Linked DNA regions of Daphnia pulex. The protein of the gene in region 1 interacts with the protein of each later gene in a pairwise test. Links are inferred from orthologs where the notes say so. Each region holds a gene or a part of one and is shown in the gene's direction. Other genes may lie near its edges. The genes, in order: S-phase kinase-associated protein 1-like, F-box/WD repeat-containing protein 1A-like, F-box/SPRY domain-containing protein 1-like and S-phase kinase-associated protein 2-like.

What was found.
Region 2: the proteins of S-phase kinase-associated protein 1-like (region 1) and F-box/WD repeat-containing protein 1A-like interact in a two-hybrid assay, tested with the Drosophila melanogaster proteins (3 studies listed by BioGRID). The link is inferred for Daphnia pulex from reciprocal best matches to the Drosophila melanogaster genes SkpA and slmb.
Region 3: the proteins of S-phase kinase-associated protein 1-like (region 1) and F-box/SPRY domain-containing protein 1-like interact in a two-hybrid assay, tested with the Drosophila melanogaster proteins (2 studies listed by BioGRID). The link is inferred for Daphnia pulex from reciprocal best matches to the Drosophila melanogaster genes SkpA and Fsn.
Region 4: the proteins of S-phase kinase-associated protein 1-like (region 1) and S-phase kinase-associated protein 2-like interact in a two-hybrid assay, tested with the Drosophila melanogaster proteins (2 studies listed by BioGRID). The link is inferred for Daphnia pulex from reciprocal best matches to the Drosophila melanogaster genes SkpA and Skp2.

The regions. Positions count from the first base shown.
Region 1 is NC_060019.1:12,030,187-12,037,528, reverse strand, and holds S-phase kinase-associated protein 1-like, read left to right. Parts: upstream 1-1,260; 5' UTR 1,261-1,287; coding exon 1,288-1,418; intron 1,419-1,667; coding exon 1,668-1,798; intron 1,799-1,945; coding exon 1,946-2,154; intron 2,155-2,254; coding exon 2,255-2,431; 3' UTR 2,432-2,524; downstream 2,525-7,342. Other genes in the region: heat shock protein 90-2-like, read right to left, coding at 26-33; GATOR complex protein WDR59-like, read left to right, coding at 3,253-3,263, 3,550-3,613, 3,693-3,742, 3,861-3,996, 4,058-4,262, 4,332-4,615, 4,730-4,880, 4,945-5,024 and 9 more.
Region 2 is NC_060024.1:7,565,569-7,569,840, reverse strand, and holds the start of F-box/WD repeat-containing protein 1A-like, read left to right. Parts: upstream 1-1,472; 5' UTR 1,473-1,891; coding exon 1,892-1,936; intron 1,937-2,156; coding exon 2,157-2,267; intron 2,268-2,329; coding exon 2,330-2,438; intron 2,439-2,501; coding exon 2,502-2,641; intron 2,642-2,704; coding exon 2,705-3,016; intron 3,017-3,076; coding exon 3,077-3,190; intron 3,191-3,244; coding exon 3,245-3,322; intron 3,323-3,386; coding exon 3,387-3,649; intron 3,650-3,715; coding exon 3,716-3,787; intron 3,788-3,862; coding exon 3,863-3,980; intron 3,981-4,047; coding exon 4,048-4,218; 3' UTR 4,219-4,272.
Region 3 is NC_060023.1:5,714,196-5,721,858, reverse strand, and holds F-box/SPRY domain-containing protein 1-like, read left to right. Parts: upstream 1-3,627; 5' UTR 3,628-3,723; coding exon 3,724-3,827; intron 3,828-3,947; coding exon 3,948-4,186; intron 4,187-4,256; coding exon 4,257-4,354; intron 4,355-4,417; coding exon 4,418-4,549; intron 4,550-4,607; coding exon 4,608-4,793; 3' UTR 4,794-5,291; downstream 5,292-7,663. Other genes in the region: transcription factor Dp-1-like, read right to left, coding at 518-754, 814-1,065, 1,128-1,358, 1,419-1,581, 1,641-1,942, 2,010-2,107, 2,185-2,242; WD repeat-containing protein 44-like, read right to left, coding at 6,299-6,609, 6,697-6,824. UniProt on the Drosophila melanogaster protein: Required in the presynaptic motoneuron to down-regulate the levels of wnd and restrain synaptic terminal growth at the neuromuscular junction (NMJ). Negatively regulates the localization of vas to the posterior pole of the oocyte.
Region 4 is NC_060018.1:4,258,647-4,266,483, forward strand, and holds S-phase kinase-associated protein 2-like, read left to right. Parts: upstream 1-3,534; 5' UTR 3,535-3,763; coding exon 3,764-4,279; intron 4,280-4,346; coding exon 4,347-4,449; intron 4,450-4,509; coding exon 4,510-4,818; intron 4,819-4,882; coding exon 4,883-5,045; intron 5,046-5,110; coding exon 5,111-5,294; 3' UTR 5,295-5,350; downstream 5,351-7,837. Other genes in the region: peptide chain release factor 1-like, mitochondrial, read right to left, coding at 5,383-5,715, 5,781-5,882, 5,954-6,102, 6,163-6,385, 6,444-6,526, 6,582-6,939; cyanocobalamin reductase / alkylcobalamin dealkylase-like, read left to right, coding at 7,287-7,364, 7,456-7,650, 7,716-7,803.

The DNA.
Region 1 (7,342 bases):
GAACTTTTCAAATTTCTCAACTTACATATCCATGAGAGTGAGTCATTCTTGTTGGGGACAATCTTGATTTTAAGATCCTTGCCGCTATCCAACTTGCTTGGGTCAGTCAGGGATTCATAATGGATCTTGTCTAGGGCATCTGAGCAGTTGGAGATCAACTATAGAAGGTGTTGATAATCAAGCTCATAAGCTGAGCAATCTTGGCCTGGAATGTCATAGTCTCAGCTTCATCTTCCATTTGATCTTCTCCAGGCATCTAAAAAGGGAAAGGAAAATATTTCAGTAAGAAATGTTTGTCAATTGTGGTAGATTGCACTCACAAATTGAAATTCTACATACTATCTATGGACTTGAGGCATACCAAAAAATGTGTAAAAAACCAATTTGTTTGTCTAAACCAGTAGTAAAACTGGTAAAACTTACTTTGCTTTTAAACGTAAACAAACAAACCCGACGCTTTTCTGTTCACGTTTGGTGGGGATCTACATGTATACAAGGCCGCCGGGCAGTCGTAAAAACTGCCACCAAATTCGCTTCTTGTTAGGCCTGCAAACTATAGCTTTGGGTTGACACACATCAAGCCGGGAAAGTGAGCCCGTTCGACTTTGAATCGCTGTGTAAAAAATACAGCTATTAGTATATCTTCATGTGATCCATTTTGAAGACCTTTCTTTGTTTAATCTCTTTCATACAAAAATTTTCATGATAAGTAACACATTTACGTAAATTTTGTATTAATGTTTAGTGTCGTTTTGAATTTGCAGTTTGAATTGCAGCGGTGGCGTTTCGAAACTGAGCCCCGTTTGACTTAGAATCGCTGTTTTAAAAAATGAATATATTATATCTTCGTAAAATGTGATCCATTTTAAAGAGATTTCTTTTTTAAATCTAATGCCTACAAAAATTTGCGTGATTGGTGTCACAATTACGTAAATTTAAGTGTCTAATTACTGCAATTGAATTTTGCAGTTTGAATTGCAGCGGTGGCGTGTCGAAACTGAGCCTCCTTCGACTGTGACTAGAATCCCTACGGGAAACTGCGCATGGCGCCATGGCTTGGAAAAAATATTTTGGGGATTTGGCCATCTCGAATTGTGCAAAACCGGAGAGAGAAAAAAATCAGTTAATTGGTTTTATATATTGCCATTTGCCAACAAAAAGAAATGTAGAATACACAGAAGTCAAAACTCAAAAATCTCGAAAACTGGAAAAGAACACGTTTTTCATAAAAACCGCTTTAACATGACTGTTGGTATACTTTCGCCCCTTCCCCTCCGAGTGTATACTATGCGATGCGAAAGTTGCAGTGATGTTTTCCATCACAGAGCGAAACAGGGAGGAGAGGAGGGTTCATTTTTACTGAACATTTTTCAGACCAGCACCAGCGCCATTTGCTCTAGAGCAACCTTTATAGAAAAGTACGTAATTTGCTTAATTTTTTGTTGAACTCCAAGCTTAATTTTCTCAACATTATTACAATACGGACTAGAGAGTTAGAAACTCGAAAATGTACCCATAATGTTTGAGATAATTCCCATAATGATGTGATTTTCTTGACTGTTATTTTTGTTTGGAATGTGTGTGCTGGTTCTCCTGAGGGCTTGATCCATTCATTGTTCTTTGCTGCTGGACTTTTGGTTATCAAAAAGTTTTTTTGTGTATTTCAGTTTTCAGAGAACAAACACAATTCACACAATGCCAAACATCAAGCTGCAGAGTTCCGATGGAGAAACATTTGAGGTTGATGTCGAAATTGCCAAGTGTTCAGTAACAATCAAAACAATGCTTGAGGATCTAGGTAATATTTTTCAATAAGCTTAATGTTAATGTAACAAATAAAATCAAAAGTTGCACCACAAAGATATTTATAGGCAAATGCGTCATTATTTTCTTTTCAAATGCTTAAAAAAGGTAACGTTCAATTGAAATTCAATTTTGGTTTTAGGAATGGATGAAGATGACGAAGAAGTTGTTCCTTTACCCAATGTCAATTCTGCTATTCTACGTAAAGTAATTCAGTGGGCAACTTACCACAAAGATGACCCCCCACCACCAGAGGATGATGACAATAAGGAAAAACGTACTGATGATATCTCATCATGGGATGCTGATTTCCTCAAAGTAGATCAAGGAACTCTGTTTGAACTCATCTTGGTAAGTGTTCATTTTCTGATATCACACCTATGAAAACATTCTACAATTGTTTTAAGTTAAAAATGTTAGTGAAATGTAATGTACATATTTTTGTTTTTAGGCTGCCAATTATCTGGATATTAAAGGCTTGCTGGATGTTACTTGCAAGACTGTTGCAAACATGATCAAGGGGAAAACCCCAGAAGAGATTCGCAAGACCTTCAACATCAAGAACGATTTCACCCCTAGTGAGGAAGAGCAAGTACGCAAGGAGAACGAGTGGTGCGAAGAAAAGTAAATTATCTCGACGAAATTTTGTTTTCACATGTTACATGTACCTTTGTATCCAACTTCATGTTTTCAAGCCAAGAATACAATAAATTAAAAAGCAGTTTTAAGTGTATAGTCAAACAAAAGAACAAGTTGTACGAAGTTCCGTAGTGCACTGGTGAATTAACTGTATGTTTTAAAACAGCTCGTGCTTTAGACAACCTCCCGTTTTGCCAATTATAATGTACAAGTTTTGGTTTTTTTGTGTGTGTGTGTGTGTGTGTGTGTCAGTGTGTTGAACACTGCATTATTTTTAGATTTTGTTTCGTTAGATGGTCTCCTGAAAATGAGCATATCAAGAAAAAGATAAAGGGACTCGCGGATTATATCCGGGCTTAGCTACTAGAAATGCTTTGCAAGTTAGACACCATCATTGGTTTTCATAGGTAGATGATAGGCATGATACCTTGACGGCTTGACCATTAATTTTATAATTTTCCCTGCATACGTTTTGTATGCATAATATGTAGTGTTTCTTATAATGTGCATAGATTGCATTTTCTTCGTAGAAATAATTGTTCACGGGAAGTCGGAAGAAAATGTTCACTGGTGCGTGCTGATGGTTGCCGAAAGTCTATTTAAAAATTAACTATAGATTTTAACTTAAAATGATCAGTAGTATTATTATGTAAGGGTCATGAGATGATGAGACATTGATTGAATCACCACTCCGGAATGCGGAAGCATTCTCAATAAGTTCCTTTGAATCGAATCGAATCGATTTGAATTCGAAAAAAAAAAAAAAAAAATCCTTGAATCGTCTGCTACTTGCTTGCGCGTTACGCCCTCATGAATTTTCGGTTCGTCTGTTCTGTTTATATTTTCTTCTTTCAACTTTTTCTATTTCTACTCCTCAATTTAAAAAAAGTAATCAAATAATTAGATTTAATGAAGTTTGTAAATTTAATACTAATTATAATGGAAAAATGGTGTTCTCAAATGGGAATTTTATTCAATAATATAGGCTAAGTCACCTAACTGAGATTTTCTCTACTCTGTCTTTGAAATGACATTATCTTTGTGTTTGTGTTTCAATTTCTGAGCTTTCAGTTTACTTGTTTTTTAATGTCTTCAATTTTTTCTTAGGGAGAAGAAAATGGCAGCCAAATGGAGTAATGAATATGTAGTTGCTGAACATAAGGATCTACAGGTAATAATACTGTTTTAATTTTGTTTTTTTTTACTTTACAAACAAAAATAAATAATAACAAGTGGGTTCTTTCATTTAGGCAAGCACAATGGCTCTTGATAGTTCTGGACAATATGTGCTATTGGCTGGGTAAATAAATTTTTGAATAACTCATTTAATAATTTTGATATGATTGAAGCACTCTTTGACATTCCAATTCATTCATAATTTATTAATTGTTTTTTGTTTTTATATTTTACTCTTCAAGACGAAGGTGCTTAGCAATTGTTGATGTTGACAATCCATCAGTAGTGATAAAGAAGTTTCCTCGTCAAAGCAAATGGGAGGTTGGATCAGCTGAATGGAATCCACACTCACATCTTTCACACCTATGTGCCATATCGGTATTTGTACTACTTCAATGTTGCATTTACCATGCAGATTTTTGAACAGTTTCTGTTATAGAGCAATCAACGAACAGAGATTCTTTCATGGAATTCTATTGACTTCACACCTCTCTATTGTTTACGTTTCCACACGCGTGCAGTCAGCGATTTAAATTGGCATCATTTTGAACCTTATCTCTTGGCTTCCTGTTCAGTTGACACTTATATTAACATATGGGATATTCGAGACCCTCGAAAGCCATGCGTTTCCCTCTCTGCCGTAGGTAAAATAAAATGGGACAAAATTTAGTATAATACAAATAGGATCTGTATAGTCTAAATATTGTTTACAGTTGGAGCTACTCAAGTGCGATGGAACCGCGTTACCAGCCATTTACTAGCAACTGCTCATGAGGGAGACGTTCGACTATGGGACTGGCGGAAAGGGAGTTCCCCCGTGCAATACATTGCGGCACATTTGCACAAAATTCATGGGCTTGACTGGAGTGCTAACCAAGAATATCAGCTTGCTACTTCCAGTCAAGATTGTACTGTTAAATTCTTTGACGTAAACAATCCCCGTGTAGTCGAGAATGCCCTTAGAACCGTGTCTCCGGTTTGGCGAGCGCGATTTACTGTAAATATGACAATTTCTTAATTTTTTTTTTTTTTTTTTAGTTATTTGTGTGTGATAAATCAATAGTTAATAGAACTACTAATTAACGATATTTTTTTTCTTTTGCCTGTATAGCCCTTTGGCGATGGCATGATGACAACACAATTACGACGAGGAGAAAACAGTTTGCTACTTTGGAGTCTATCCGATTTGTCTAATCCGGTTCATTCGTTTCTTGGGAATAACGATCTAGTTCTTGAGTTTGATTGGAAATCTTCCCGTTCCGGTATAATCAAACGTTCAAATTTAAATTTTTGGACTTTGAAATTATTTGATTTTTATATGTTTAGATGACGACGACTATCAACTTATCACCTGGTCAAAAGATCAGAGCTTACGAATTTGGAGAGTGGATGTTAACCTTCAAAAAGTAGGGCGAATTCAAATTTCAATTATTTTTCTGGTTTATGTAAAAAAATATTTAAAAATATTCTTTTTGCCAGTTATGTGGCTATGAACCTGAAAATCAACCACAAATCGTATATGAAGAAAACGAATCGACTTATGACGTTACTGGTGACATAAATTCATTAATTATTAGCATGAAAAATCTGTTTTATATTGTATTATTTAATTATTTAATATGTTCAGCTGTTGACGCAATTTCAACAAAAAGCGACAAAGACATTGAAGTTGGGCTTGAAGTAGTGGAAGAAACCTATTTAGACCTTCACCATAGTTTGGCACCGTCTATAATTGTACCTGACTCGTTACGCCTAGCTGGACATAAAACTGTAGCAGCCTCTATAGCTGCAGCACAAGCTGTACTAACCAACACGTTATCACCAACATCCCATCGGAAAAAGAAGTCTGCGCTGTCAATAAACAGTAGCATCGTCGGAATAGATGCGATTTCTCAACCTGAACATTATTCATTCAACAAGGAAATCGACCAACTTAAGTCATTAGGTAAATTTATGTCCCAAATGAACTATTAGTAATTAACTGAATACGTAAACTTTTCCCTGGAATAAATTTGTGGTTATTTTTCTGTTTCTTCAGGTTCCATTGGTACTGATAACTCTATCAGTGTTTGCGATGTAGACGAGACACAACGAAGCTTAACAACAGTGATTCGCACTGCAAAGCATCAAATAATACTTCATATTTCTATGCCTCCATCGTATCCCGACGGAGCGATTCCAAATTTTCTATTCGGAAAAGGAACGACTATTGACAACAATGCCAGAAGCAAAATGTTAAAAGTATTTCGAGAGAGTTTATTCTTGCGTAACTCAAAAGATTTATTTGACACGGCGGCATTGTACAGGTTTTGAAACAAGCAGCAACTCTATCGTGCCGCAAAGGTCATCCGTCTATAGAGCTCGTGCTACAACAACTTCTAATTTCAGTCGATCAGTTAACACCAATTGATAAGTCAGAAACGGAATCGTCAAAGACCATAACATTGAATGTCAACTCATCAACTACCGGAAATACTCCTTTCAGGTAACATTTAATTCGTATTTAGTTACTTAGATGAAACGTATATTCAATATGCTACTAAACATAATTAACGAATCTGTTTTCTAGGTTACCGCAAACTGGTCTTGGGCATCCTGGTTTCCTACAGAATGGCGGTTTATTTGGTAGTCTAACTCATCATCAAGACCACAATATTCCATACCCTCGGTCATCCGGTGCTCGATTTTGCAGTGCTGGTAATGTCATTAAAACAAAAAACATAAAAATATCCTTCAGCAAACTGCTATATTGATTTGCCCTTGTTTTATTTTATACAGGTATGCTGATTTGTTTTGGTCGACCATCCTATTTAAGGTTTTTGATTAATTGAAATGATTAATCGTACGACTAGGAATTCATCAGTTCTATTTTATTTATATAATTGAAGGCGTGTGAACAGTAAAACTTCGGACACTTCAACTACACCTCGTTCTCTATCCGTGAACCAAGCTTATTCATCAAACTTGGTACAGCATAGCTTGGTAGCTTCATCAAATACGACTCCTTATGGATTGTTGTATCCGCCCGTTGCTCAAAGTCCGACCGGTGATCCGTCAGTCAGCATCTCGTCTTTTTATAACCAAGACAGGGTAGGCTATACTTGGAAGTATTTCCGTGATTGCTGACATTAGCCTTTTATTAATGAGATAATTCCATTGCTGATTAAATAACAAAATATTTTGTAATTCATTCAGAGACAGAAATCTCGAACTTCTAAGTCGAAAAATAGACTTTCCTCTTATAGCTCGTCTTCAGACGAAAATAAAAGGGGAGCTCAAGAGGCACGTCATCATAAGGTGGTCGGAATGGTGACGATTTACGATGCTTCTGGATTGATGCCACAGCAGTTAGAATTAGCAGAAAGATATGTGTTAGTTTATCTTTTATATATTTTCTTGTATAATAATTCCTTGAATCAGATTTAGTCATAGTTTCATTACATATTTTTATTCACCAGATTTAGCGATACTGATACGGCATGGATGTGCAACCAAAATGCAGCGGTTGCTGCGCAGTTTGGCAGAAAAGATTTGACTTACATTTGGTCGTTGGGTGCCCTTCTGGCAACTCCTACCTTGATACACGAAAATAATACCAATGACCTTGATACCCCATGGGCTCAAAATCCATTCGGCCGGAAGCTTCTTCATGCGATGTATGTATATGTGTATTTATTTGATCTCTTTAGCGTATACTTAAAACAACACACCAACATTATAATTT
Region 2 (4,272 bases), on another chromosome or scaffold:
CTCAGATATGGTTAAATGAAGACAAAATTGCGCATTAAGTAAACTGGAATCCCCCCCCCCCCCTCTCCCGAAAGCACGGTCTTGTGGAATTTGGATAAGGAAACAGAAAGATAGAATTTGCCTCTGGAAAAGTAAAAACTTGAACCTCTTGGCTCTTGCATTGTTGCATATGGAGTGCGGTGATTGCACGATGCAGTGATGTCTAGCTGGCTATCTGCCTACAATTGTTTCCAATTTAGAACGACAGATGGCCAAGCTTGAAAAAATTTAACATTTTCTTTTATTTGCATCATTTTCATCGGAATTCTTACCTGCAAGCGCATCATCAAGGTTACCTAAAACCACTTCCGCCTTGAGTTTAGTCATATCTCTTTCACCCAACTGAATTACTGAAGGATGTTAACATACGATTACACCATAACCCATAAGGATATATAATAAGAACCCAATCTGGATGCTTGATGCTACAGCAAGAAAGGATAATGTCGCAACCACTGTTGATGACTCGATGGTGCCGTAAAATTGTGATTGCGAAATATTTTACTTTTAGTTTGCGCAAATATACTTTTCCTGCTTTAGATACTTGTTGACTTAACAGCAATAAAATGAGTGAATCGCTTTCTTATATGATGCGCTTAGAGTAAAGAATTGGAAATTTTCTTCGTGTTGATAAGAAGAGAGAAAACTTTATTTTAGCACAGGTTATTCAAGCGGGACAAACTTTCTACGAGCTTTCACTCTCGAGTCTCGACCTTCTGCCGGTGAAGCGAGTCTCGTCTCGCTTTCTTTTTACCACGTTTTAAATGCAGGAACGCTTCGACTAGCGACCTACAAATCTCATTATTTGGCTATGGCCAATATTCAACTTGGTCAATGATGCCAGTGTTTGGTTCTAGCCTTATTTTATTTATTTTATAATTGACAAAAGAGAACTGGATAACTCCTCTCTTCGCAGAAGTGCGCCATTTGTTCAACCGGTACGTTTTCCAGGTTATGAAATCGTGAAATCCGATCGTGTTCTACTATATACCACAATAATCATGCGATCGGACGAAGCCTGTTGATCGAGCACAAACTTGATGACTGCTAGCTAGGGTACGGCTGAATTGCTTCGACATCAAATAAAGTGAAAACGGCAGACCTGACTTGTTAGCTTCTCAATTTGGGAAATTTGAAAAATAAACCATTTTGTTAAGATAAATGTATTGTGAAATAGTTGTACATGAATTCATCGAATTTTATAAAAAAATGTTGAATTAAAGTATTACATTCTTTCAAACTTATTTCGTTTTCTAGGATTCATTGATGGTTGATTACTTTAACCATTGGCATCTTCTATAAGTTAGTGTAAAGAAATTTTCATTAAGAAAAGTTCTAATAGTTAATTGCCAAAAAATGAACATTAATGCTACTTTTTACTAATTCGGCAGTAAATCTCATTTGTCTCATTCTCACCGACTTCTCGGAATCTCGGTTCCTTTATCGACAACTCGACATAAAGGAAATTGTGCAATGTTGTGCACTGCAAGTCATCACAAAAGAGAAATTAGCGCACATCTTCTATTGTTGGAAATACAGTTAGCGCCACAGTGTTCAAATCGCCAAGCTTAGTGCTCACAACATAGTGACTCCAAGTCTCAGGTCCAACCAGTCGCAGGTTTTAGGGGGTTTAGACTCTAGACTGTTAGGTAACCCCGCCCCTTGGCTGCATTAAACAAGAAAAGTTCGAAACATGGACACCGTAGTCCGGAGCGCTAGCTGCGTTACATTTATGTCAGTTTGCCAGTCTCGAACGAACCTAGTGTAGAGGAAGTGGGGTTGGGGAAGAGAAAGACTTTTGTAGTATTTGGTATTGTCAATTTGCTGTGAAATAAGTGAGGAAGGAAGTGAAATGGAAGCTGAAAACATCGTGGAAGATGTTCCACCAGCGATTGGGGTAAAATCGTGCTCGCTAAATTCGTTCTTTAAGTTGAAGAAAAGCCTTGAATAAATCCAGAAGAAGAGACAGTGCTACTGGGAATGGCAGCCATGTTGGAGGCCTAATTTCAATATTTCCTTGTCAACTTCCGAGATTTGTCCTTGGTTCTTCTTTGCTCGTCGTTAGTGTTGTTATGCATATTTCTCAATAGCTGAAGTGTTTTGTGCATTCATTCTAGGCAAATACGATGCTCAGCCTTGTACGAAGCCGTTCCGAACTATCGTCCAATTACCTAGTTGAAAAGGAACCTTGTCTCAAGTGCTTTGATTCTTGGCCAGAATCTGATCAGGTGTGAAGACTATTTTTATTCTAGTTTATAATCATGTTCCTTTAACAATAATTGTTTCCCAGGTGGAATTCGTGGAGCAGTTATTGCAGCGAATGTGTCACTACCAACACGGCCACATTAACTCGTTTTTGCAACCAATGCTTCAACGAGATTTTATATCATTCTTGCCCAGTAATTCATGGAAAACAAAATTTGAAATAGTACAAATTAAACTAATTTTTATTTGAAATTTAGAAAAAGGTTTAGACCATATAGCAGAAAATATTTTAAGTTACCTGGATGATAGTAGTCTTAGAAATGCTGAACTAGTCTGCAAAGAATGGAGACGTGTGATTGCAGATGGAATGTTATGGAAAAAACTCATTGAAAGAAAAGTATATCTTTAAAATTATGAGTATAAGTTTGAAAACAAAATTTTAAAAATCTCTTTATAACAGGTACGAACAGATTCTCTATGGAGAGGCTTGAGTGAACGACGAGGATGGGGAGCCTATCTTTTCAAACCCCGTCCTGGTGAACAACAGCCAGATCATTCCTTTTACAGAAAGTTATATCCACGCATCCTTAAGGACATTGAACAAATTGAAAACAACTGGCGGTGTGGAAGACATACACTGCAACGGATAAACTGTAGATCAGAAAATTCGAAGGGTGTTTACTGCCTCCAGTATGATGACCGACGAATTGTCTCTGGGTTGAGAGATAATACCATAAAGATTTGGGATCGACAAACTCTCCAATGTGCAAAAGTTGGTTTTCATTAGTTTGCGAGATTTAATTACTTGTTTATTTATTGATTTACCTTGAAGGTTCTTACTGGACATACGGGATCCGTACTTTGTTTACAGTACGATGAGCGCGTGATAATTAGCGGATCGTCTGATTCAACTGTCAGAGTGTGGGATCTCAACAACGGGGAAATGGTACGTTAATTAAATCATTTTATAAAAAGCATTATTAATATTACCCATTTTAAGGTCAACACACTCATTCACCACTGTGAAGCCGTCCTTCATTTACGGTTTGCTCATGGACTCATGGTTACGTGTTCCAAGGTAACTTTAAAAGCTTGTAAAAATAGCATTTGTAAATATTTATGTGGCCTTTTAAATCTTTCAGGACCGAAGTATTGCTGTGTGGGATATGGTGAGTCCCACTGAAATTAACCTCCGTCGTGTGCTTGTTGGTCATCGTGCAGCTGTGAACGTTGTTGACTTTGATGACAAGTACATTGTCTCTGCCTCGGGTGATCGAACCATCAAGGTGTGGTCTACAGCAACCTGTGAGTTTGTTCGGACATTAAACGGACACAAGCGTGGCATTGCCTGCTTGCAATACAGGGACAGATTAGTCGTCTCTGGATCATCCGATAATTCTATTAGGTAAATGCCTTCAGCTTAACAATTTCTTGTAGATCTCATTTTCATTTTGTTGTAATGATCTTGCAGGTTGTGGGATATTGAATGTGGCGCTTGCATACGCGTACTGGAAGGTCACGAAGAATTAGTTAGATGTATCAGGTAAAGCATGAGTAACGATTCCCAAAATGATTATTACCATTTTTATTTATTGTCGGATGATTTTAAATGATTCAGGTTCGATTCCAAACGCATCGTAAGTGGAGCCTACGATGGAAAAATCAAAGTTTGGGATTTACAAGCGGCGCTAGACCCCAGAGCACCAGCTGGGACCCTTTGCCTTCGAACCCTCGTGGTATTATTCACTTTTAACATCTTGGTTAAAAATAATCCCTTAACTATTTTACACACGAACATTTTAGGAACATACCGGTCGAGTTTTTCGACTGCAGTTTGATGAGTTCCAGATCGTAAGCTCTTCTCATGACGACACGATCCTCATTTGGGACTTTCTTCACACAGATTCGCCTTCTAGTTTAACGCCATCATCACGTACCTCACCCCAGCGCACTTACACTTACGTGTCGATGTAAAAGCCCCTCTAGGTCGTGGAAAAGAGATACAGGCATCTAACTGAAGGGGTTAGC
Region 3 (7,663 bases), on another chromosome or scaffold:
GCAAAGTGAAATGGAATAGTTTATAGCCAGCAAAGACTATTGATGCACCCGGACATGCTCGTGTCAACGAGATGGATGAACAAGATATGAACACTAAGAGACGAAAATAACGAACGACATTGTTTTTGTACGACGGTAAACAAAAATGAACGAAGAAAACTGTTATCGACAATGAAACCTCACTTCTACTCGAAAATACATCGACAGGCACTTTTGCAAATATTCATCACCTGAGTTTTCAATGTTTCCAGTTGTCGATGCGGTCTCCTATACCGACAAGAGCTCACTCCGTCATCTTAATAGACACACACACGCGGTTCAGATTCCCACGAAAATCATCGATGGATACTCTCACTTGGCTTAAATTGGCGACATTGAAAAGGAGGTTCTAAGGAAAGGGTAAACACTGAACCGAGAACAAGCGAAGAGAAATGCATCCAATCAGCGAGGACAGCCGCATGTAAAGCGACAGTAGAAATGGACGCAATGAGACAACGCATCAGTAGAACCACACCCTTTAATTGATTTCCACGTCGGAGTTGTCTTCATCGTCATCCACATCGTCATCCTCGGAGTCTGAGAAACCTGTTGAGACCGACGCTGTAGGTGTAACTGCTCGAACACCTTGATTTCCAAAGTGATCTGAGGTTTCCTTAACCACAGGATTGACGTCCTCTGGCCACTGTGGCTCGGCCTGACCGCTAGCCAACTGATCTACATAATGTTCCAACGCTTTTGGAACATAAGACTTGGCCTAAAACGAGAAAAATTTAAAAATTAAGATAAACTTTAAAAATAAAAGAACAAAAATACCTTGGCGAGATTCTCTTCAGTACAAGTGGCCTCGTTAAGCCCAAGGGCCATGCCCATTCGCTTAAGGACTTCAATATCATCATGAATTTCGAAAGTATCATCAAAGGTGAAGAGATACTCCATCTTATCGCTAGATATGGAGCAGTCAATCACTGTTTTCTTGCTAGTATTTACGACCAAAAATGGTAGCTGTATGGTAGAATTACTGGCAGGGCCACCGTGAAGACGCTCATTTTGCTTGTTTCTTTGAACCTAAAGGTAAACAAGACGTGTCAGTAAAATGTTTCTGTTTTACTAGAAAAAACATTAACAACCAAGCTCTTGAAGGCGATCTGCTGAAGGACCAATTCTTGCAATTGTTGCGTCTTTTGCTTAATTCTTTCTAGCCGACGTTGCTTCTCCGCTTCCAGTGCCTGGAATTCTTGCAACGAATTTGTAGGTAAACCAAGCCACTTGATCTCTTTTTTCTCTTTCGATATGATGTTCATGGCCATGAGCACATTCAGTGCATCGTAAACCCGACGCCGAATATTTTTTTGGTCATACTGTCAATAAATTAACATTATTTCACTGATAAAAAGATGAATTTCTAATACGATACTAACTTGGTCAGCAGGTGAAGTGCAACGAGATGGATCAGTGAATTCAGCTACAAGTTCATCAGCAACCTCATTGTATGTTGTAGTACCCTTCTTCTGAACCTTTTCACACACCTTCATCGAGAAATGACGTAATCCTTTGCCTCCTTTGTCTACCTTACGCCGTTTACTATTAAAAATGAGTTTACTCATAAAACTACTCATTTGAAAAATAAAATGAAAAGTTACCTCTCAGAACCATGTTCATGGTCAGGATCTTGCCTTTTTCGTGAACCACTGTGATCAAGAATTGGGGAAATGAAGTTTTTGCCCTGTTGTTGTTGCTGATTTAAGCGTTGAGGAGTGCTCAACACAACAGGCACTACTGGTAACTGTACAGCAGTGTTTTTGTTACTCGGAGTAGATCCATTTCCTGATGATAATGGTATGGCTAGTATCTGTCCAGCTGCCACTTGTCCACGAGGTCCAGGTGCTCTTGTCACTCTGCCAAGTGACTGCAACATCTGAGGTGTGGCAGCCAAAACGGTTCCCTAAACAAATTTTCAGCCAACATTGTTAACATCTTTTACATTTTATTCAAGCACATCCTTGACTTACATTAGATCGCAGAACAGCTCTAACTGCTCCAGAAGCCATGGACACTGGAACACCTTTTCCAGCAGTGGCATGCACCACTTTTATCATTTGTGGCTGACCTGGAATGCAAACAACCATCATTTTATTATCTTGTTGAAAAGAATGAGATAATTTCTTAGTCTAGACTTTGACATACCATTTGCATCTTGGATCCAAATGTTGGTGATGTTTCCAGTTGGGGTTGACTGTGCCATCTCCTTAACCTCTTGTAAATTTATTTATATTATTTAACTGTAAAGAGAAGAGATCAAGGAAGATCCAATGTGCTGACAATGTTTTGTCAAACAAGCATCTTTGGTGGGTGGGACCAAAAGTATGATCAACTGAGCGCCGTTATAATTCGAACTTCCTGTCAAATTACAGATATCATCAAATTTCATATAGAACTATGATAGAATCTAAATAGACTAAAATGGAAATTCCCCGTATTTATTCCTCCAAATGATTTCAGAACACGATGAGCGAAATGGCGCCCAAAACGCCATCACCAGTCGATACCCCACACCGGTAAGTTTTCCCCCTTATTTTAAGATTTTTGCAGACATCTTCACTTAAACTTTCCAAGCTCAATGACAAATAGTATCCTCCTTTATTATCTAATTCACTTTATGAATAAAAAATAAAAATCCCCTCAATCCAAAACAAAAGAGACAATAGGGTTTACCTAAGGTTCTGGGCCAACTTTATACGATCGTCACTAGACACACACTGCTGTAGCATCAGCAGGCAGCTAGGCAAAAATGCACGAGGGGGTGATGATGGCACAGCAGGCCAACGGCTTAGTTTTTATTATATTTTTTTTTTCTTTATTTTTTCGTCCGGGGGGTTTACTGAGTGAGCGTCTTATATGTACGTCATATGAGACTGGGATTCAATTCAATTCTAACTTCTCCATGAGTTCGCTTTCTATCTATCGCAATTTGCAATGAAAAAAAAATCGATACTTTCAACGGGCAGAAATTCGAAATTCAAACAAACTCGTGACCTTGGGTCGTTGGGTGAGAACAAAAATATGAACAAATGATTTTCGATTTTCCTTGCTCGTTTAATTTCTCCTTTTCTCTTTTTCAAATATTCATGTAAAATACTAAGTAGCGCTAAAACATGAAGGAGAAAGAGGAAATTAATTAAGCGCAGGCAAGTGTTCAGCGATTTCGTTATTTTATTTTATTAATTTCTGAAATATATTTTTTTTATTTCGCTCTTTTAAATTGGTCTATTTTTTTAATTTGGCTGTTAATACAGTTATCGTAATAAATGTATCGTAATAACTAAGTGCTAATTTGATTAATTTCATGGGAAAAGCGTTAAATTTTTATTGAAATCGAGCATGAATATGAATGAAATCATAAATCAGAAGGCTAAGTAAAATCAAACGTCGTCTGCTTTTCCGGATACGCGGGAACCATTTCAAACATAAACTAAAATATTATTTTATCTTAAAAACTAGTAAAAAAGTAGTTTGATATTAATATATCGTTTTTTCACAGGTGTAATTCAGTGTTTTATCAAGTTGTTTAGATTCTCATAATTTTTGTTCGGTTTTCTTATTTCAGATCAATTGCTATGGCAATGTGGCAACACCGGTTCTGCCATAGAAGTATTGTCAATTGCAGAAAAAATCGAAAGAAATTTCCTAAATGAATGTTGAAGTGTTTGCGAGCCGGCGTTTAGAATGCACGTGGATATACTACCAGATATTATACTAGGAAATATTTTCTCATATTTGCCGCTGCAGGATTTAAGAAGCAGTTCGTTGGTGTGCAAACGGTGGTACAGGTACAAGTTTTCTTGAAATCAACACCAGTTTGTGACTATTCGCTAGTGATCTACCGTTGCTAACAAAACCAGCGATTGTTTGAAACTTATGTTCTCCTTGCACATTATTATTTGAATCAGTATACTGAATGATGAGGACAATGATGTCTGGAGACTGCACTGCATACGAAAACTGGCAGAAGAAGTCCTGAGCTCAGACCTCCTATCTTCCGCTCCTACCTACAAAACAAAATTAAAAGCATTTCACCATGCTTGGAACCCAGAAGACTGCTCTAGAAACATTTATATCAAACCCAATGGTTTTACCATACACAGAAACCCTGTTGCACAGAGTACAGATGCTGTGAGAGGTAAAATTGGTGAGTACTAAATATTGTAGATGCCTGTTGCAAGTGTACATATTAATCCATTCAACTAATGTTTGTGCAGGATTCAGTCAAGGTAGGCATGCCTGGGAAGTGATGTGGGAAGGTCCTCTTGGAACAGTTGCAGTTGTTGGAATTGCAACTAAAGAAGCAACTCTCCAGGTATAATTGTGTTAAAATTTGAATATTTTATCTAAAAATAATTGTCAAAATCCATGTTCACAGACACATGGATACATAGCTTTACTAGGATCAGATGACCAAAGTTGGGGTTGGAATTTGGTTGATAATCATTTACTTCATAATGGAGATTCCCAAGGCAATTACCCAATGCTGAACAATGCACCTAAATACCAAGTGATTGAGTCTAACCAATGAATGAGTTGAATCAACCTAACCTAAAGTTTTGTTGCAGGTTGGGGAGCGGATACGAGTCATTCTTGACTGTGATGACAATACATTAGCTTTCGAAAGAAACTATGAATTCCTCGGAGTGGCGTTTAGGGGCTTACCAGAGAAGCTCTTATACCCTTCGGTGTCGGCAGTCTATGGGCACACAGAAGTCTCAATGGTCTACCTGGGTCCTCCCTTGGATGGCTAACTGTCGCCTGTCCCCCTCTCCTAAACAGAAAATTTCTTTGTGTGAATCAATTTCTACAGGCAAATGCGTTTTGCCAACCAAGAAAGGATGTTGTTGTAAAAGAATCCCAAAATTCAGTGTACAAAGGTTGCGTTGGGAATACCGCTCTGACTTAAAACATTCCCGTATTTTCCCATTCTTCATTTATTTATTATTTTTTTTTTTTTCATGATTTCCCTGGTGTGTGTCAGATTATTGTAGTGTGTTACAATTCAAATTTCGTGTGGTTGTGTTTTCACGTTCAACCGAAAACCAACAAATGGTTAATCGTCCGGTCTGACTGCTACTTGCGAAATAGATTTGTATAACTTAAAATTTCCCTGTGTATGTTTGTATGACTTGGGACTGGTGATGATGCTAAAGAATAACTGAACCTCTTACTGCCCAAAGTTTGGCGTTTTGAATAAAAAAATCTAATTCGTGTTTAATTACTCGAATAAATGAAAAATGACTTGTCTACACTGCCTTTATTTAATTTTATAAATAAGCATTATTCAAACACTTAAAGGTGTTAACCAATGAGTAAGGAATCAGGTTTTCTAAGTACTCCTACATTTACCATCGTATACGAATGGATTCGATCGTTTAGGTTTTTTCTAGCCTCATTACTACTTCATGTGTGATTTTTTCTCTTCTAACGCTTCTAACTGAGAAATGTACTGATGGGCACTTGGATCCTAGATTTCTAGCAACATATTGGTCAAAAACTGTCTTGAAGGTCAAACAAAAAAGTTTGTTTAACTGTATTTCCATTACGCTCATCAAATCGAACGACGATCGAGTAAAGGCTTTAATGGTTTTTCGCATGTTGAATTAATCAAAGCGCAAAAGCAATATCATTCCAAAAATAGGTCAAAATCAAAGAAAGTTTCGTCCCCTCTTTTATGGTTTATTGTGTACGTTGACCTTCATCAACCTCATAAAGCGAAGTGTAAGTGTCATGTACCACCGGAATTTTCAGTTCTATTCGATTCACAAGCAAAGACAGCTGGTCATTTCCTCCCCATTTTCAATTTCTATTTGTACATCGCCTTAGGGGTTCCAAACCCTAAGGTAGGTGGATTGGATATTCTATTGTGTGACCAACAAAACACGTTTTCCGTCGATTTACTTTCGACCAAAAAAAAAAAAAAATCCTTGTGACGGGAATTCTGTTGCGCTGCCCAATGGCAATCCGCAAGAAAGGACAACATTGAATGCCTCTACCATCTAGCGTCAAAAATGAAGAGCGGTTCAAACAGGAAGAGTTTTCTGAATTAAATAATCACGCACTCGATAATCGGAGGCGTGTATTCATTGCCATAAATGAATGGGCATGCTAAATTATTATATAGTTTCTTTGGGTTGCGCGATAATTTCATAATTTCCAAACTGAACCATATTTATCTGTTGTCGTCACGTCGACTGAGAAGAACGACTACATTGTCGATTGAAATTTTCCAAGCCGTTCGACTATTTTTCTCTTTTTAGGACATTGCAGAAACGGGCAAAGAACTATGCTTCGGTTTGACTCGATTGACGAACACTTTAATGCAGCCGTTGAAATCCGCGCTGACAAGAACGTAGCCGTTGCCGGAAGAGGCTCCTCCTTCCACATTTGAGTTTGGTTTCGCTCCATCGGCTGTCGCCGATCCCGCTAATCGCCGACCCATCAACGCATCTCCTGATAACGAGGAAGCTTTTTCCTCTTCCTTCTCTCTTCGATGTCGCTCCATTTGCTCAATCAGTGAATGCGAATCAGGTGCGAAAACGGCCGATGTCACCACTGCATTGTGCGCTGTCGTAAATAGATGCAGAAAAGTCGATTATTCAATTTGAAAGAGAATTAATTTACAAGAAAATGGTAGTGATTAGGTAATAGTACCTTTGATGGCTTCCCAATAATCGTTGCGATCTCGACGAGCCGAAGAGAATTTGGCGTAATCATGATGTGTCTTCCACATGTAAATGTACTGATTCTCTGAACCGCTAATGATGTACTTGCCATCGTGACTAAAATTCAATTACAACATAGAAAATGATTAAATTCATTTCATTTCGGAAAATAAAAAGAAAAGAAAAGAAACTGAAGCGTAATTTAGGGCTCATTTTGTCCAGTGTGTCTAGGATGTCATAATTTATTAAAAATCTTTACGGACCCCCCCCCCCCCTTCGAATTGACGATTTATGACGTCATACGCACTAGTCAATAGGGATGCATACCAAAGAATGTTATACAATCATAGTCCATAGACGGATAGACCTACGGTGTAATGTAACATTCTAGAGAAAGTAAAATCCGCTGAAAATAATTTATCATTAGCGTGTCGTCCGGCTTAAACCATGGGCTTAGAGAGACCATGGGTATGGAGAGACTCCATAGTCCATACCCCTGGAGAAACGAACTTAGCGGTACGAATTAAAATGAAAGAATTTGGCAACGTTGACACATATTTCAGCGTTCCGTGTCACGACTGTTTGATAAGAAAACTAGAGAAGATAAGCTACAGCGATTGAAAGTGAGATAACTATTAACTGTGGAATAGATGAGTTTTTTTTAACTATAGAAATGTTATGCTAATTTATTCAAGTCTTGGTAATTAATTAAACTTTTGGATCATTCAACAATAGGAGCCATCTGGACCAAGTACTTCCACGCCGAGCGTGGAATCTCCGCCTCAGTATTTGTACCACTACACAAACTACGACAACCTCAGGAAAATTCTCAAGGACGGCAAAGTTATACAGTCCAATGCCAAAACGGCTTATGTTAACGGATCGGGTGTTTATTTGACTTCACTGGCACCGGAGTCTGGTCGAAATCGTATTTGGTGGAACAACAAAGGCGGCCG
Region 4 (7,837 bases), on another chromosome or scaffold:
TAGACATTGAAACACTACCAGTGTTTTCCGTAAGGATTTAATTTGTTCCCCCATGGATAAAGACGCTGCTTAAGTCCTCCCTGGCAAGCAACCTCCCACTCAGCTTCGGACGGTAGCCTTTTCCCATAAAAATCACAAAAGCTGACAGCATCATTCCAGGATATGTGGATTGCTGGATGATTCATTTTGTCTGCATGATTCAGAATTAGATGATAAAGGTGTTAATAAGAGAATTTAAAATCAAAACCTGATATAGAAGAATTTGGTCCTTCGGGGAATTTCCAGGAAGCATTTACAACAGGCATCCACCATGGGGCAGAGGCCACAACTTTGGAGATTTCAGATTTTGTTTCATCACTAAGGATTCCTTCAAAAACAAAAGAGCTCCCATATTTTTCAGCTTCAGTTACAAAATTAGAAATCTCTACAAAATCTGCAAAGTCTTGATTACTGACTACATGAGTATCAATGAAGTAGTCATCAAGATAGACTGAACGAGAAGGAGACTCCCCATCAGCTACAAAGACTGGTTCATCTGTTCCAATTTCATATACTCCACCTCTCACCATAACCATTCCTTCATGAGTATTTGCAGCACAGGAACCTTCAGAAAGATTTTCTGGTTCTTTTACTGATGGCTGAGATTTCCCATGAAAGCAGTCACCATTGGCAAAGCTAAGATTGATGTCTGAAACCAATATGAAAATCCAGAAAATTTCCAAAAATGAACTTTGCATTCTCCAAATTTCATCCTATAGTGGTCAATAAAAGAAGAAACACAAATAAAATTGAAATTTCAAGACTAAAGATGGTTTCAAGCCAATCATAATTTTACTATTTTAAATCAGACAAAAAATTGACAGCTACCCAAAGCTCGTAACCTATATGTTCAGAAAAATGGATACTATTCTTACATATATCTATAGAGTAGCTATAATTTTGAATCTAATAATTACGAATACAATACAGAAGAAGATTGATTATAGCATACACAACGACGACTTTGTTGTCTATGATTATAGCGTTCGTGATAAAATTCGAACCTCATGTCACGCATGGATGTTAAATGGGTTAAAGCAACCGTAAGAAACCTCAATTTCACAGTTGCATAACCTTGAATGTGTACTCAAGTGTACGCTAGAGGGCATCAGAAAACCTTTTTTGTCAACAAATGAAGTAGTGACTTTCCTGTTTCTTCTACTCTGATGCTTCGAATTATTTTTATTGGATTACTGTGATAATAATGGATCGTTCTGGGGTTACTTCTGGTAAAAAATTTCATAATTTTTGCCCAAATTATACTGAACTCTTTATTTTTATTAGCCAACAGTTACCTCAGAGGGGTCTCTGTAAAGATTAGCGAAAAGTACCGACCTCCTCGTAGACCCACACTTCCGCCTGGATTATGCTTCGAACCTTCTCCTCATTTATTTTCTGATAATGTATGAATTGATCCAATTTAAAAAATGATCAAAGATCACCTTATGTGTTGTTCTTTAGATTGACCTCATTGATGAAGTAAGTGCATTGAAGCTGATAGCCTCAATGAGAGATCTACATACACAGGAGACTACAAGAAGAAAGCAAAGTGTATCTGCATTTTTAGAGAGTCAAGCTGCTGTCGATGAGAAGGAAATTGAAGAGATCACTTCAGACCTTTCCTTGAACAGTCTTACTAACAACATTCCCTCACTAAGTGTTCTCAACTTGCAAGCAAGGAATGGGCAATTGCTACAACATACTCAGGCTTCCATGGAAGTCCTTACTCCAATTCAAAGCTCGACTGTGGAAATCAAGAAGAAAGAAAACATGTCTGCTATCAATCTAGCTGAATTTGAGAGTTATTCAACAAATCCTTTTGAGGAAATGGAATTAAAGACCTTGAATGACAAAGAAGAATTAGCCATGTTGCTCCAACCCAGCCCTCAGCCATCTTATGGACTACAGTATCAGAACTATAACCCATCAACAATTCCATCTTGGACTGAAAATGTACATATTATTTTATATTATTTTTCTTATTTTAGTTTTTATTTTTCACTAAAGAAAATAAAATATAATTTTTATTTTAGAGACATCAACCTGTGCGTCAATATGAAGCTGCAGCAAATTGGATTCCCAATGAAAGTTCATTCTTTAGTGTTGACAAGCTATCTCATGGGAACATCGCTATACCTGTAGAATTCCAAAATCAAGCAATCTCACATAAAAACTTACGTCAAGCTAAAAGTGTCCCAGACCTCTCTGACGTAAGTTTTGGGACGGGAGAAACCCCTATAAATAAACCGCCATTTACAGGTGTGACGGACAAAAGACTCAGTTCTCGCACTCCCCCTCCTCGTTTAACATCAGATTCTATAAAAAGACCAGTGCCTAAACCAAACTTTGATGTTGCATCTCCGTATGAAAGGAAACTGAACGCAATCGAAAAACGTTTAGTCCAGCAGCTACAAGATATGGGATTTGTGAGAGAAAATGCAGTTCGTGCTATTGCTCGACTTGGTGCCAACGAAAAGGATGTTGTTGATCAGCTTTTACTAATACAGAAACTGGAAGAATCGGGCCATTCCATTGAGAGAATAGAAACGGCTTTAGACGTTCTTAAGCCCTGTAAGGAATTACCAACGCAATTAGAACATCATTTAGTGTTAGTTGATCAGTTGTCTGCTTTAGGATTTGAACACGGTAAGATTAGCTCTGCGCTTGTTGCTGCTGGACACGATCGCGATAAAGCCTTGGATATTCTTTTGTTAAAGTAAATTACATTAAAATCATACGATGTTTATTTAGTTTTTTTTTTTCGTGTTCTTATGTCCTCAAGTCAATCAATATTTTTTTGTTCTTCGATAAGTATAAAAATCCAAATGTCAACGATTCTGTACTTAGTCTTCACCTTTTTTCTGCTGGAATAAATTGACATATGACATTATTCAACCTAATCAAATTGTCAAAGTGTGGTTAATAAAACACCAACCAAACAAATACTTTTGCGCGAAACGACTCGGGGTTTGGTTAATGAATAAATATACACGTTGGCGACATCGATGTCATTGCATAAATTAAAAGTTATTGATTCCGTAGCTATAGACATCTGTGATCATTCTGTCGGTTCACTCAGTTGTATTTGTATTGAATCTTTTTTGAAATTCGCTTCCTCCCTGGTCCCTTAAACTGGTTCCTGGATCCTAAGCAGAAGTAATTAGAATATTTCTATTACTCATTAGTCATTACTCTGTTCAAAGTTTCCTAAGTAACTTAATGTTAAAGTTTTAATAATATTCTTAATGTTAAAGTTATAATAATCAGTTAAAATATTCTACAAACAGGCATCATCGCATTGACACAGGCAAATTTGAATTCCCGCCGTCTTTGCCATACTTATTTTTTTCTAAATTGAATATTTTTCTTTCCTTACTAAATAATTTCGTTACTTTAGTATTAAAAGTAACTTTGGTTAAAATCTGTGGTAAATTTTAAGATTTTTGCTTACATTATTTTTTAAATTTCCGAAATGAATTGTTGAACGGTCAACATCGGATTCCACAGACAGTGTCTTTTTAGCGCGCGACGTGACGAGTTTGGACGTTGCTGATTGTAGATTTTTCTTTTACACGTTTTCAATATAAACGCAGTAATTAGTTTGAAGTGCCTTTTGGTTAAACATTTCAGCTCAATAATTGTTTCCAGTACGCTTTTATGTACCAAAATTTTTATTAATTCTCTCCCTTTGTTGATTTCGTCGTTTGCCCCGTTGCTACAAAATATGGCTAAGTTAAATACCGGGTTTAAACGGTGGAGTCTTGATTGCCATGACGTATCGATAGAAGTCATGGAAGATCTAGGATTATCTGCAATGGACGATGATTCAAACTCCTGTAGCAATCCATCAGTAAAACAAGTAGTGATCTCCAATATTCCTGAACCTGCTGTAAAGCGAAAAGAATGTTCACCTTTTGCTGTCCCGTCAGCTGTAATGGATTTTTCTGAAGATGACCAATCTAGTGATAGCTTTTTATTGTCTAAACGAATGAGGATGGATGGTCCCCCAGGAATTGATGGATTCTCACGCCTCTCAGACGAAGTCATTCTCAGCATATTTAAATGGCTTCCAAAATCAACTATCGCCAAATGTGCTCAGGTGTCAAAGCGTTGGAAACGACTGTGTTATGATGAAGTTTTATGGAGGAGGTTGGACCTTAGTGGCACCTGCCTAAAACCTACGATTCTAGGTAGTGTTCTTTTAAGAGGAGCACACATCTTGAGGCTAGCTAAGACTGAGGTAATTAACTTTTGTTTGTTTCTTTGTTATCAACTACTAATATTTAATTTTTCTAAACAATGTACAGATTTGTGATCCAATATATCCAGTAAGTCCTCTACTTCAAGAATTTCCAAGGTATCGAAATTTGCAATTTTTGGATTTGAGCATGGCATCTATTTCAACACAAGGTAATCTCACCAAGTCATAATTTATAGGAATAAGGGTACAAATTTGGACATATTATGCAGGTTTATTTGATTTATTTGATACTTGTAAAAACCTGAAGAAACTTAGTATGGAACATTGTGTTGTTGATGAAAGAGCATGCAAGGCACTAAGTCAAAATGAGCAGCTTGAAGTGCTGAATATGTCCATGTGTTATGGTGTTGGAGTTAGTGAACTTAAATGGATTGTGAATGGATGTAAGAAACTTGACAGTTGGAATTTAGCTTGGACAGACTTGAATTCTGAAGCTCTTCAGTTGATTAGTACATCTGCACCAAAATCCTTAGAACGCATAAATATCAGTGGTTGTCGAACGACACTTAAAGACGAACGTAAGTTTGTAATGTTGACTGGAAATTTGTGATCATTAAAGTTGAATGCCGAATTTTATGTTAGATGTCCTGGCCTTGTGTCAACGTTGTCCAAAGCTGGTGGAATTAGACATAAGCGACTCCACAGCAGTGACATCAATTTGTGTCAGCTATATTCATGATAATTTAAAGCGACTGGAATATTTGGCGATGGCTCGATGTTACAACGTGCCTCTCTCCGTGTATTTGTAAGTAACATTGGCGTTAGAGAGCAAAATTTGAAAGATATTTTAATCATTTCTATTTCCTTTAGGGTGTTTCAAAAGAGTGGTCTTTTATACCTTGACATTTTTGGTTTATTGACGGAGACTATGCTTGGAACACTTCGCGCCAAACTTCCGAGTATAGAAATCAACAAGTTTTATTTCTCTAGTGTAGCAAGACCTACAGTCGGAATTCGACGTACCTCAATTTGGGGGATGAAAGTCAGAGAGTGAAAAATTCAAGTCATGTTTATTGCAAAAATTAGTAATACATATTGATGTATTCAAAACTGGTAAAACAATTTATTGGCATTCAGCGGACTTAAACTTTAATTTTTTCTAAAAATTCAAATACGCGTTCCTTGTATGACTCTTCCTTTAGTTTTCCTATGAGCACATGAAATGGCCTTGCGCCTCGTAAAAATTCCCCTAAGTTATGACTAGTGAAATTTATTCGATGGTCTGTGATACGATCTTGCGGGAAGTTGTAAGTCCGTATTTTTTCTGAGCGACCGCTAGATCCTACCTGCAGCTTACGACTTGACCGAGTAGTTGCCAACTGTTGGTCGATTTTCATTTGGAAAAGACGAGCTCTGATTTTATCCATTGCAACCTTACGATTCTGCATTTGCGATCTTTGTGTCTGACATTCCGCCTAATTAAAAATGTAAAACATTTAATTGTTGATGAGAAATACTTCAGTTAGTTCGGTAAACTTACCACTACACCTGAGGGTAAATGGACAATTCGCACTGCTGATTCAGTTGTATTTACATGTTGTCCACCTGCGCCGCTTGCTCTTTTTGTTTCGATTTTAAGATCCTTAAAAAAAAGAAGAAAAAAAATGTTAGTCATGCATTCAAGGAAACAGAATTAAGTATTAGTAAACTTACTTTCTGTTCAATGGTCACGGAAACTTCCGAAGGGCGGGGAAGGATGGCAACGGCTACCGTACTGGTATGAACACGTCCGGCCTTTTCAGTTTTGGGCACCCGCTGGACCCGGTGTACTCCACTTTCAAACTGCAGTCGATCATATGCGTCTGAGAAAAAAGTAGGTAGTTGTATCTAATATATTAAACTAAATTTTTGAAAAGACATACCTGAATTATTAATGCAAATTGCAGCATGCCTAATACCTTCTAAATCACTTTTTTCAATATCTGTTAATTCATAGTCCCATCCTTCACTTTCACAGTATGTGATGTACATTTGTAATATTTCATTGCAAAACAACATGGACTCTTGCCCACCAACTCCGGCAGAGAATTCCATGATTATTCCCTCAGTTTGATGATTATCTTCCTGCAAAATGAGTTCTAACACCTAAATCAATGAATGGGTTCTTATCAATCATTTAAACTTGATTACTCTGAATTTATACTTCATTTTGGATCTGGACTAGGATTTCCTTTAACTGTGAAAATTCTTCACTGACCATTTTTGCAAGGTCACCATTTTTATCATCTAAGATACACTATTTAATATAGATTTTTAAATAAATATAACTAGATACACCTACCATCTGCACTCAAAGCTTTAAGCTCTTGTAGATCATTTTCAGTCTGTAATAGTTTTTCCCCTAATCCAGCAAGTGATTGGATGCGTTGTTTGTTTACTACACCTATTCCAGACTTTGATTCAATGTTTTGAAATCCTGATTCATCAAACTTTTTCTTGATATTTAATAAGAAAATTCGAAGTCTCGGGTCAAATATATTTTCGAATGATACTTGATTGAGATTTAAACTCCTATGTGAAATGGTTTGATTCAAACAGCGAATGGATATTACATTATTAGCATAGCTTTTGGCGAAACACGGTCGTCGTAAGGCACTTAGAACTCGTACTATTTTACTGGAAATACCCCAAGTTACCATTTTTAATGACTAAACTTTGATGGTAATTTGAATATATTTTCAACGTCTTCAAAATCAAAATCACAGTGAATCGCAGTGAATCCTTTTTGACGGTAGCAGACGACACTGGAATCTTGTTGATTGGTGAGTCAACTGTTTAGAAAAACCTGAAGGTGAGTTTAAAGAGTTGTTGTTTTGAAATTTGATTCACGCAGTGTGAATTCGTGAAACATGCGTGTGCGCGGGATTGATTTACACAATTAAACCGATCATACGTTGGAGATAAAAAAAATATCCTCTGCCCGTTATAGGCTAGTATATGCATCGCACACAAATATCTCTATGGCACTCTGTTAGTAATCGACAAAATGACTACGTTATTCGAAGTTAACACAAAGCTTACAGAATGTTTACATGATTTTGGGTTAGAATGCCACCCATTCAAGGTAATTTTTATTTTGCTTCTTTGTGTAGTAATTATTTTATGCAATATTTTTTTAACTTCTAATTAGAGTTAAATGCATTTCTTTATTATAGGTTGGATGGTACAATGAACGAGTGAAATCTGGCTTTCAATTAGAACACCATGAAGACACACTTTGTTTTGTGGTGATAAGTAGTCCTTCATTTTTCGAAAAAGGCTTTATACCATTTGTTCGTAACAATACTGGAAGCAATAATCAGGATTACCTTGATCAAGCCATAAGCTCTTGTCTTAAAACAGCAATTCAGGTTTTATTTGATTAAATAACATTGTTTTTTATTTATTAGTTTATCACTCTATTATCTTTGTGTAGTCAATTCCAGGCTATGATATTAGTATTCTCCATGATTATGAGATGAGACCAGGAACAAGAAGACCAAAAGTTCTTGTTCAAACAGCAGGCTTGTTCAAATTATTGCTTATATACCATTATTC